2 linked regions of the Tribolium castaneum genome follow. The main gene of each other region encodes a partner of the protein of the gene in region 2 in a complex. Links are inferred from orthologs where the notes say so. Each region holds a gene or a part of one and is shown on either strand. Other genes may lie near its edges.

Evidence for each region. The genes of interacting proteins can lie anywhere in the genome.
Region 1: retinoblastoma-like protein 1 (region 2) and lin-52 share a complex: the UniProt entries of both Homo sapiens proteins name them as parts of the DREAM complex. The link is inferred for Tribolium castaneum from reciprocal best matches to the Homo sapiens genes RBL1 and LIN52.

Annotation. Positions count from the first base shown.
Region 1 is NC_087402.1:6,134,451-6,139,455, forward strand, and holds lin-52 (protein lin-52 homolog), read right to left. Parts: upstream 2,934-5,005; 5' UTR 2,820-2,933; coding exon 2,786-2,819; intron 2,593-2,785; coding exon 2,503-2,592; intron 2,452-2,502; coding exon 2,350-2,451; intron 2,297-2,349; coding exon 2,151-2,296; 3' UTR 1,904-2,150; downstream 1-1,903. Other genes in the region: probable protein phosphatase 2C T23F11.1, read left to right, coding at 3,466-4,084.
Region 2 is NC_087396.1:19,759,485-19,764,955, reverse strand, and holds the end of retinoblastoma-like protein 1, read right to left. Parts: coding exon 5,461-5,471; intron 5,409-5,460; coding exon 5,371-5,408; intron 5,326-5,370; coding exon 5,156-5,325; intron 5,106-5,155; coding exon 4,916-5,105; intron 4,865-4,915; coding exon 4,661-4,864; intron 3,602-4,660; coding exon 3,424-3,601; intron 3,374-3,423; coding exon 3,242-3,373; intron 3,190-3,241; coding exon 3,026-3,189; intron 2,772-3,025; coding exon 2,471-2,771; intron 2,423-2,470; coding exon 2,304-2,422; intron 2,256-2,303; coding exon 1,947-2,255; 3' UTR 1,600-1,946; downstream 1-1,599. Other genes in the region: synaptic vesicle membrane protein VAT-1 homolog-like, read right to left, coding at 603-853. UniProt on the Homo sapiens protein: Key regulator of entry into cell division. Directly involved in heterochromatin formation by maintaining overall chromatin structure and, in particular, that of constitutive heterochromatin by stabilizing histone methylation.

The sequences.
Region 1 (5,005 bases), on a different chromosome or scaffold from region 2:
ATTACCCAGATTTCTCCGATAAATTAATCTCCAGATAAGAGATTTAGTCGAGAAAACACGATTCACTGAGACAAAAACTCTGATAACCGGCGAACTCACTCGGCATTCACAACACAAAACTAAACTTGCTGGCTGGGGTCCCCACAGCACGGTCTAAAGTCAGGTGAATGTGTCTCCCACTACCATATTTACCTGGACACCTATCTCTATCTAACGCACTTATAGATGAAGATTGGCTTTGAGAAGAATGCAAGAAGGTATTTGCATACTTTTGACTTCGTGCAACTCGACGCGACGGGATAACGAATCAAATAAGAAAGTTTTTGCTATTTTATGCATCCGTTAATTTTTTCGGGACGGAATGGCGGATGAGCGCCCAAAATGGGCCGAAGAAGGTGGTGTAGTTTTGAGATAATTGGGTCCGAGCGTAGGTTTTATATTTATGCGAAATGGACCTAGATGGTTGTAGCAATTCCATTAAATAAATAATGTTGTAATGATCAGTGTAACATTTTATTGACATTATTACGGTAAACAAATTTAGTAATTGATGTTACGACACTATTTTATATCTTTACTTCGACTTTCTTTGTGAAATTTTTAAGCGTATTGGACAGTTTTTTTTTTGGATATAATGCAGGAAATGAGAGTTTGTAAAAGGACGAAGCTATTGAATCTGATTGAGATTTTGTAGGCCCATTACAAGGTCAGGATATAAAATATGGAAACGGCATTATTGAAGCTAAAGCATTGATTCAAGCCAGAGTAAAGTTACAAAAGTTCAGGCCGTTTTTAAAACGAAGCGAGGACATAATTCACATCAAACAGCAGTCAAAATATTTTTTTTCAACAACATGAAGGGAACTAACAATTTTTATAAGTGTTCAATGTAATTCAATGAAAATAAGTAGTGACTTTTGGTTTTTAATTAAAATTAAAGCGTTTTTCTTCAAGAGTGGATTGTTGGTTGCAGCCATTCTACGCGAAAAAACATTTTCTTCGCAAACTTTGAAAATTTATTACAATATTCAAAATAGTCCCCGAAGAGTGAATCAGTTATTACCGGAAAGAAGGAAAATAGTGAAAATAATGAATAAAAATTTTGCAAAATGCTTTTACAGAAAAGTTGTTGTACTTGTGCTTGTACACGCCCTTTATAAACGATCAAACACCCTTTTTAATGTAAATGTTTGACACGAAAAGTTTATTTTTGCCCAATAGACATTTCAATAAATCACACTAAAGTTTATGTCGTTGACTCAAGGAAGATTTGTCTACCCTTAAACCTACTCAATAATAATTAATAACGCTCTAAAAGAGCAGAAACGGACACAAAATTCATAAAAGTAAAAATTTTTACATTTTCAAACTACAAACAGTAGCCAACGCAGAAACCATATGAAGGTAGGTGCATCTTATTTAACGCCAAGTAAAAAATATTTGATTTATGTGTTGTTTTTTTTTCATAAATAATTCCTTTATTTTCTAATAATCATTGTTTACCTCATCCTTAATTCCTTTTTTCCTGGCAAGAATGTTCTAAACCTTCTTCTGGTTCTTGCTGGACAAATGAGTTATTAATTTGACTAATTAGAGCAATCCTTAAATACGAGTTTTTTAACGCAATTTGCAAAATCGAGAAATTTTATAAAAATTAAAAAAATGTTAAGGTCCTAAGGAATGTTTGTCCGAACATGATTTTTTACAGTTGAAGGCCCTATTAGAGAGCTTAATCTCCTGCAAAAATAATTATCAATTTACATTCCACCGGATATTTTTAATCTAGGAAGCTGCTGGGTTCAGTAATAATAATAATAATAATAATAATAATAATGCATCACCTCATTATTGTTTTGGTGAGCTAACGGGGAACAAAATTTTAATTGTAGAAAATGAAGACACCTTTTACAAAACCAAATTTATTTTCGATTTTTATTATACAAACGAAACTTCAGCAGTGCAATATAATACATAAATCCTTTTGAAGCACTTGCTTAATAATACATTACAAAAATGATTTTCTCCAGGAAATTAACGTACAATCACTTCTTTAAACTTAAACTTATAATCCTATGTACAAATATATTTCCCCTGCTCTTTTTATAACTTCCACGTTATTTGGAACCTCTACTTAGGTAACAAATTGCAAATCATTTCTGCTTCTGCCTGGGCTTAAAAACATTTAAGTATTTCCCCCTTGTGACTTCTTTCGATTCCTCAACACCCAACTGATATGCAATATCATGCAACTCCTTGACTTTAGAAATCAGTCCAGCTGTTGGAAGAGCTGCTAATTCTACAAAAACCACACTCTTCTCTACAATCACACAAAAACTAATCCAAACTTACGGTGCAGATAATTCTGGTCATCCTGACTCAATTCCTTCGAGTAAGGCAGTTTTACGGCACTTGGTGGCGTGAAACTGTTTACAAAATCTGTCATTCCTGGATCTGAAACCCTATTATTGCCCTAATCCCACAAACATGTGCAACGCTACTTACACTTCTCTGGCCAAATTTCTGGAGAGGCTCTATCCAGATTTTCCATACTCATTAAGGTCTGCTCTAGATCGCTCAAAGATTGATCTTGCTCTAGGAAATGCAACAAATCAATTATATTTTGACAGATTGACATAAGCCACTCTGTTTAAAATGCGAACTTGTCCACGCACGCTAGCCGACAATTTCGCGTAAACTGTCCATGCAAGGCCTCAACAATCGTTTAATAATTAAATTGAGCCAAAAGTAACATTTACAGGGTGATTTTTTATTAAAAATGCTTTACCTTGTTCAATGCTCCCGGGTTTCTCGGACGCCATCTTGCAATTGTGCCAACTGCAGCAAACGTAATCAAAAGGCTGCGCTTTTAGGGGGACTTTGAAAGCGGCAAAGAAACACTATACAGAACGAGCAAAAGTCGCAAATGACCCTAATTGGGTGTCAACCCCGATTCACTTGCCCCCAATTTCGTAAAAGTTTGGTTTTTAAATTTGGCTGGTGTATTAAGTGTCGCAATGTTGGCGCTTCCCTCGCCAAGATTGTAAAATCAAATCGTAATTTAATTAGTAATAAGTAACAACGAATTTATTGTCAATAGTTTTTATTTGAAGAACGTGCCGCACATTTTTATTGTTTAGGACATAAAAAAGTTTTCGGCCTTGTGCACAGGCGATGACGCACTCAGCCGGCCGCGTCCCAGCTCGACATTCAAACGTCAAGTTTCTCTTTTTTCGAAGAGTTCTCTCCCGATTAACCTAAATATTGCGTTCCATATCTCGTGACACACAACAGCAAAAAGCGGTGTTAATTAGCGTACGCAAAATATGCGATTCGATTTAGCACAAGTATGCTAAATAAAACCCATCCAAAGAGCAGAGTTCAATTTTGAGTAAGTAGCGACGGTTTTTTCCCGCTTGCCTCGTGTTTTTGCGCTTTTTGCGGACTTATCGCCCTTTCAGGGGTACTATGGGTCAAACTTTGTCCGAACCGGTGACTGCCAAGAACACAGCATGCTGCCAAAACGCCAATTTCCAAGTGGGCTCAAGTTCGATGCAGGGCTGGCGCATCAACATGGAGGACTCCCATACGCACATCTTGTCCCTGCCGGACGACCCCGAGGCCGCGTTTTTCGCGGTCTACGACGGGCATGGGGGCTCCAAGATCTCGGAGTACGCGGGCAAGCACCTGCACAAGTTTATCACGAACCGGGAGGAGTACAAGAACGGCCAGATCGAGGAGGGGCTGAAGCAGGCCTTCTTGGAGATCGACCGGGTCATGCTGGAGGATGAGTCGTTGAGAAACGAGCAGTCGGGCTCCACAGCCGTCACTATTATTATCAAAAATGGCACGTTGTACTGCGCCAACGTGGGGGACTCTAGAGCTGTGGCGAGCATTGGGGGCAAGGCGGAGCCGCTTTCGAACGACCACAAGCCGAACAACAAGGAGGAGTACGACAGGATCGTAGCGGCGGGAGGGTTTGTTGATTACAACAGGGTTAACGGGAACTTGGCCCTTTCCAGGGCCCTCGGTGATTTTATTTTCAAAAGAAACGAGGATAAACCCCAGGAGGAACAAATCGTTACAGGTAAGTCTGGAAATTGCGAGCTAATCTTGTTTAAACACTGTCAATATTTATGTTAGTCTTTTATGAATTGTGTATATTTAGATCAAGTGAGTAATTGGGTACTTAGGTAAATAATTACATCAGTTGATGGATGGTCCCATTTGATTCAAAGGGTGTGTTATTTTTAAAGTTACGTTGTCAGCATATGTTACGAATTAAGTAATCTGGCGGTGTTCCACTTGTGTCATTCATTAATTAAAAATATTTACAATTGTTATTAATAGGCGACCACCACTAAGTGATTAAAAGACTAACTTATCGCCTCGTATAACGTCACAAAGTGTGCATTATCTGAACTACGTCAGGTTGTTAACACACCGACATCCGAAGAAAAACATTCGTGATATCACTTGACGCAATTTTTTCTTGTATTACATCTGTTGTAATAGTTTTTTCTTTATTTAGTCCGTTGACCTGCTTGATAGGTAAATGCTAGTCAAGTAAACATTAATTTGTCGCGTTTGTGATAAAACTTCGATAGGTCAAACATGAAACGGCCGCACGCGATTATGTCTTTGTTTGTAAAGAGTAAAATAAGGAAGAAAATACACGGAAAAAGTGGCTACGTTAAAAATAAATCATTTAATAGTACAGTCCAGAATTAGAATTATTATTTAGCGAACGTTGACACTACAAAGTGATCGATATCTTCTTAAAAAATTAGCATTGCTAATATTAAGAAAACCGCAACACCTGAATTTTAAGTAGTAAAACCCGAAATTCCAAATAAATAAAATTCCCTAACCGCTTGAGTAATTTTACGTTTTGCGGTTCCGGCCTAAAATCAAGGTTAAAATTCAAAATTAATTCAATGGACCACTATTAAAAAGTGCCGATTCAGTGGCGGCTCGTGAATTCAACATCAAAGCTAAATTTTGTTTA
Region 2 (5,471 bases):
TGACCAAGAAAGGGCGTAATTCTAATGAGTTTTCATCGAAATTGAAATAAATTGTCCTTAAGCCGCTTTAAACAAAACATTTTCGAAAACTTTGCAATAACATTGTCATAAAAAGCAAATGCTTCACATGGTTTAAACCATACAGATTACAATAAACAGTTCATTACACTTGGCAATAAACAATAAATTAATGAACGCGTTTAATTTCAGAGAAGCCACACAAACCAATAAACTAACTGGGAGTGAAGTATTTTTACTCGTATTTTCAGTTGTGAATGATGGGATTGGTGTGAAAACGACAGTTTCTCCTCTTCTTTTGATTGTTCTAATTAAAAGCCGCATTCCTTGCATTGTTAAGCATCGTGTTTTAAGACGAATTAATTACTATAGCTCGTAGTAATTAGCCCAATTGAATAATACATTAATAAAGAGAAGAAGTGACGAAGAGGCGAGAAACGAAAGAAAATCGATGGCAAAAACCGAAATTGCGATAAAGATAAAACATATCGCGATCGAATTGATTTCGCGAGGCGTGTAGGCTGCATTTTCGCATCAGCAGACCGCGAAATAATTAAAAAAATCAATAGCAACTAAAGCCTTACCATGCTTTGACTCGGATCAAAACCTCGCCTTCGTTGAGAGCAGGCTCGGGCTTTTTGAGTATTTTGACCGACTTGAGGCCTCCGAATCCGTTGAGGACGACAGCCCTCATTTCTTTCGGGGCTTCTTTTTCTTGTTCAGCAACAGGTTCGGCTTCGCCGGTGCCGTTCTCTTTGACGTCCTTTTCTTCAGTTGGGGCCTCGGTCTTCTGCTCCTCTTGCGTAGTGGGGGCGGTTTCAGCTTGTTCAGACATGGTGCAAGTTTGGAGAGCACACGCGGAGGAAATAACGGTTATGCACTTTATGCCGGCCGGCTTCTCGTTGAACAATGAAGAATGTAACAGGTGCTAGTCGCGCTTAGGGCGCGCCAGTCGCGTGCGCAAGCGCCTTAAGCCAAATAAAAACAAAACTACCCCCAAAAAGATGCAACTGGGAGAATACTTGGTAAATATTTTGGCAGAGCAAATGTTAAATAAGTAAATACTCGAAGATTTTAATTCAACAACGATGCTTCAAGCTAGCGTTTGGAGCGGCTTCTGGTAATTTTAAGCGCCACCCTGTATATCTTCGAGTCAAAAAAATCAAAAAATTCTTGTTGCGAAATTAAGTCAAATCGTAACAAGAAAAAACACAAACTAACGGATTTGGGATAAAAAGTAAATGTTTATTAATTGGGTTAAAACAATTTGCTTTTGAAAGCCTGGCAAAACGTGTACTATTTTTTTCTGTTAAAAGAAAAATGACTTGCTAAGGTCTCCTCATGTTTGAAGCTGTAATATAAACATTAGAACCAAGGCTAAAGTCCACAAATTTTGTAGAAAAGATGTTAAGTTAATCCTACTGACTGCGCCATTTAAGTTTGGAAAAAATATACTTGATAAGACGAAGATAATTTTAGAAATGGATATAAGGACAAGGCTAATAAAAGTTCTTCAATCATTTTTGGACAAAAAATAATATTCGGCACTTGTGGTTGTAAAAGGAGACTTAAACAAACATGGTCATTCAATTGGTCAATTTATTCAAAATAGACGTGAAGTTTACTTCGTACAAACCAACCTACGACGAAATTTTTGCTGATAAAGTAAAAAGGCAAACACACGATAAAACTTTGACGTAATTTAATTAATTAAAACGAAAAGTTGAGATAAATTATTTTAGATGTTTCAGTACTCGACCCTTTGAAGGGAAACTTCCAAGCATATCACAAGAACAGTGAACAAAAACCAGACGCCAGCATCAACTGGTGCCAAAATCGAAAAAATTAATATTTTTAGAATTAAAAAAGTTTGAATTATGCTAGAATTAAACTTTATACATAATAAACGTTAAAATCTAAATGAAACTTCATTCAGTGTTTTGATTTCTTCTTTCTTCAATCAAAGACTGCACTTTTCTCTTTGCCAGACGTTTCGAGTCGGGCAAGTCGTTCTCGCCCTCCACTAGCAATCGTTTTCCCGTCACACCATTGCCCCTTATGGCCTTATTGATGTCTTTCAAGTCCTTAGAAGGACTTCGGCTGAAATAGTAGTTCAGGACTTTGCCATTGCCGAAAGTCAAAGTCGGACTTTCCAGTGGCTTGATAAAAATGTTGTCAAACACTTGGACCACTTGCCCCCTGGACGCCGGCAGTGGACTCAAAAGTATATCTCCGATCTAAATCACAAAAATAAGACGTTACAAACAAAACATTTTCGAACTTACGTTTTCCTCGCCTCGGACTACGAATTTCTGCGCAAACTTTTTCATTGCTTGAATGATCACTTTGTTATAAAACTGTATCAAGTCACCCCATTCTTCCGGAATTTCGGTCGTCTCCCCATCTGAAATATTCCGTAGAAAAAACGCAAACTGCGTCATTTGGAGCTTACCAACAACCACGACTTTTTTACTGCTTATCAGAACGTTGCGATAAATGTCACTCGTGGCCTGAGGCTGGCTTCTATAACTTTTAATAATTTCCGTAAAATTTTTGTTGAGTTTCGTAAGTTTGCATATCATGTAGACGGCACACATTAATAGCTGGTCCAAATTGCGGTCTTTCATCAATTCGCAGTGGTTTTTGCGAACCAGTTCCTCAAAGACCGTCCAGATTTTGCGCTTAGTGTCCGTGTTTGTGATTTTTAAGTGTGTGCACAGGTGCTCCATCCGTTCTCCAGATAAATTATAGAACTGAAATTACGAATGTGTCTTTAGTGGACATCTGTTAGTAGGGTAATATAAATTTTGTTAGCACTTGTGCACGGATTTATGGTCATTCTTTACCCATGACGACCGCATATAAAATTTTAACAATTCACGGAAAAAATAAAAGCGTTTAATTACTACACTGAAATAAACCCAATTCTAGAAAGTAGAGCAGATTTGTTTAACACTTGGATGCCATTAAACCGCAAAATTATAAATTTTAACGGGACTTTACTTACTTTCCTGAATACTATTGACACACCTCCTGTTCTTCTCGGCCTGGCTTGAGCTACATTCTCCTGACGTTGTGGAGTCGTCTGTTGAACTGGCACCGGGGTGCTCTTTTGCGTTTCACTATTTACGATAGGAATCATGCGAGTATTCCCAGTACGATCTTTAATCACTAAAAAACGCAAATTTTGATAAATGCGTTAATTTAGTTGATTAAAACTTACTCAAATGAGTCGTTTGGAGTAGAGATTGACCTGACTGAACTGTAGGAAACAATTCTCTATTCACAGCACTGCTGTGTGCTACTGGTGACTGAAACCGGTCTGTTGCAGAAGGGCCAGGCGATACAATTTGTCCTACAATTATTTTTGTAACAATCGTATAACATAAAAAATAGCAAAAATACTTGGTTCAGAATTGAGAATACTTCTCAAGGTTAAGTTTTCAGAACTTGGTTCATTTTGCATATGCCCTGGCAAAGCCGTCTCTTCGAATTTCGGTACTTCCCTATCGGAAGATGTTATTGCTTCCCAAATTAAACTGTCTGATTTCCAGACCAGCGAGGAAAGTATAGTTTCCTCGATCTAAAAACGACAGTTTCATACAAAACAGAGTAAAGGTGGAGAACAGAATGAGAAACAGAAACTGCTGACTAATTATAATAAATTATCAGTGATTGAAATAAATCATAATCCTTCTTCACTGTTTGCTTTATATGTAGAAGATATCTGAAGCTTTAAAACAAAATATTTACTCGTAAATTCGACAATTAAATATTCAAATAAAATACAGTTATGCATTTCTTATTATATGGCCCTTGAAAACTTTCAAAAATTGATTAAAAGAAGAGGATTTTTATAAAACCTGTCTACAAGATAGTGTAGAAAAATCAATTTGACCTAATTTCTTAATGATTTTTCAGTCCAGTTTATCAAAACGTCGCGAAAAACCTGACTATTGAGCTCAAAAATGTGTTTTATTTCTCGAAAAAGATTAAAATAATTGCGTTTCTTGATGAAAAACACGTTTAAACCCTTAAAAAAAGCAAAATAAATGACATTCTCAACCGACTTTGACGATTTTTCTGGCAGAGATTAGCGAAATTTAGCGAAGAAAATGAGTTTTTAGCTCAAACACGTACTTACCGCTTCAATTTAAAGATTTCGTCTTAAATTAAAAATTTGCTAACTAGAAAATATACTTAAACCATTTAACGTAATTTAATTTTTTAGTTCAAAAAAAACCAGACAATAACACCGTTTTCGAGCACAATAATTTAATTTCTTTAAACTTGCGCCAAAATTCTTTAAAATAATTGTGTCCTTACATATGCAAACCGTGTTAAAACCCTCTTAAATAGGAAATAAATGTCACTGCTAGTTTTTTTTCTGCCCCAGTTCAGCGTAATTTCACGAACAAATTTAGTTTCTAGCGCAAACACGTGTTTAAATGGCGAAAAATTACACTATTTTTGAACTAATTTCATAATTTCCGCTTTTTTTTAATTTGACGAACTAATTTTATTTAGAGGTGGAGAGTATATTGAAACATATTTTGGTCTATTTTTGAGAAAATTTTATGATTTTTTGCACAGTTTCACGAAATCTCAAATCAAAAAAACATCCCGACTGTAATGTTCTTACCATATTAAGGTGTTTGATAGTGTCCCTTGAAAGCTTATCTCTTGAGCGAATGATAAGTTCAATCACTTTAACAAAATTATATGGTTGTATTTGCAGTGCTTTCAATATCCAGGGGAACCTTTGCCGACTATTGTATGAATAAATAACAATTTCTAAACAACAAGCAAACATACATTCGTAAAATACGTCTTTTTCCACAATGGCCTAAAAAAACAATAAAAATACTACAGAACAAATAATAATTAAAAAACATACCGATAAATCAGCATGTATTGAGCGCTCATTCTGCAGAATACTTTCAATAAATTTATAAAACAAAGTTGTCGCGAGCTGCAGTCGCCTTTGTGCTACTTCTCTTTGGTCAACTGGGTGGCCTTCCAGAAACCTCTCCCCCAAATTTGTAACAATTTGATTGATTCTCTCAGTTGGATTGCGAGCACAAGACCTTAAAACATCATCATAGACACGTTCAACCACTCTGGGCGTCATAATTACTCAAACAATTGCACTAAAGCCTCACTGGGGGCCGGCTGGCGCCCATGAAGCAAGTTATTAAGCCTTGAAATGCTTTCAGTAGCTGTCACAAGCGGAGTCGACTCTTGCGACTCCTTCGGGCCCAAATATTTGCGGCCAGTGAGCGGCGTCAAACACTCTTTACTAACAACCTATTAACAAACGTAAAAAAAATACCACACACAAAAATAAAATACCATTTCTTTGGTCGATAACTCCGGACTTGCGTTGTCAGCTGAAATTGCAAAATTCAATTGTTTGATCATAGATTTCTCGATTCAAATTACCTGCATTTTGC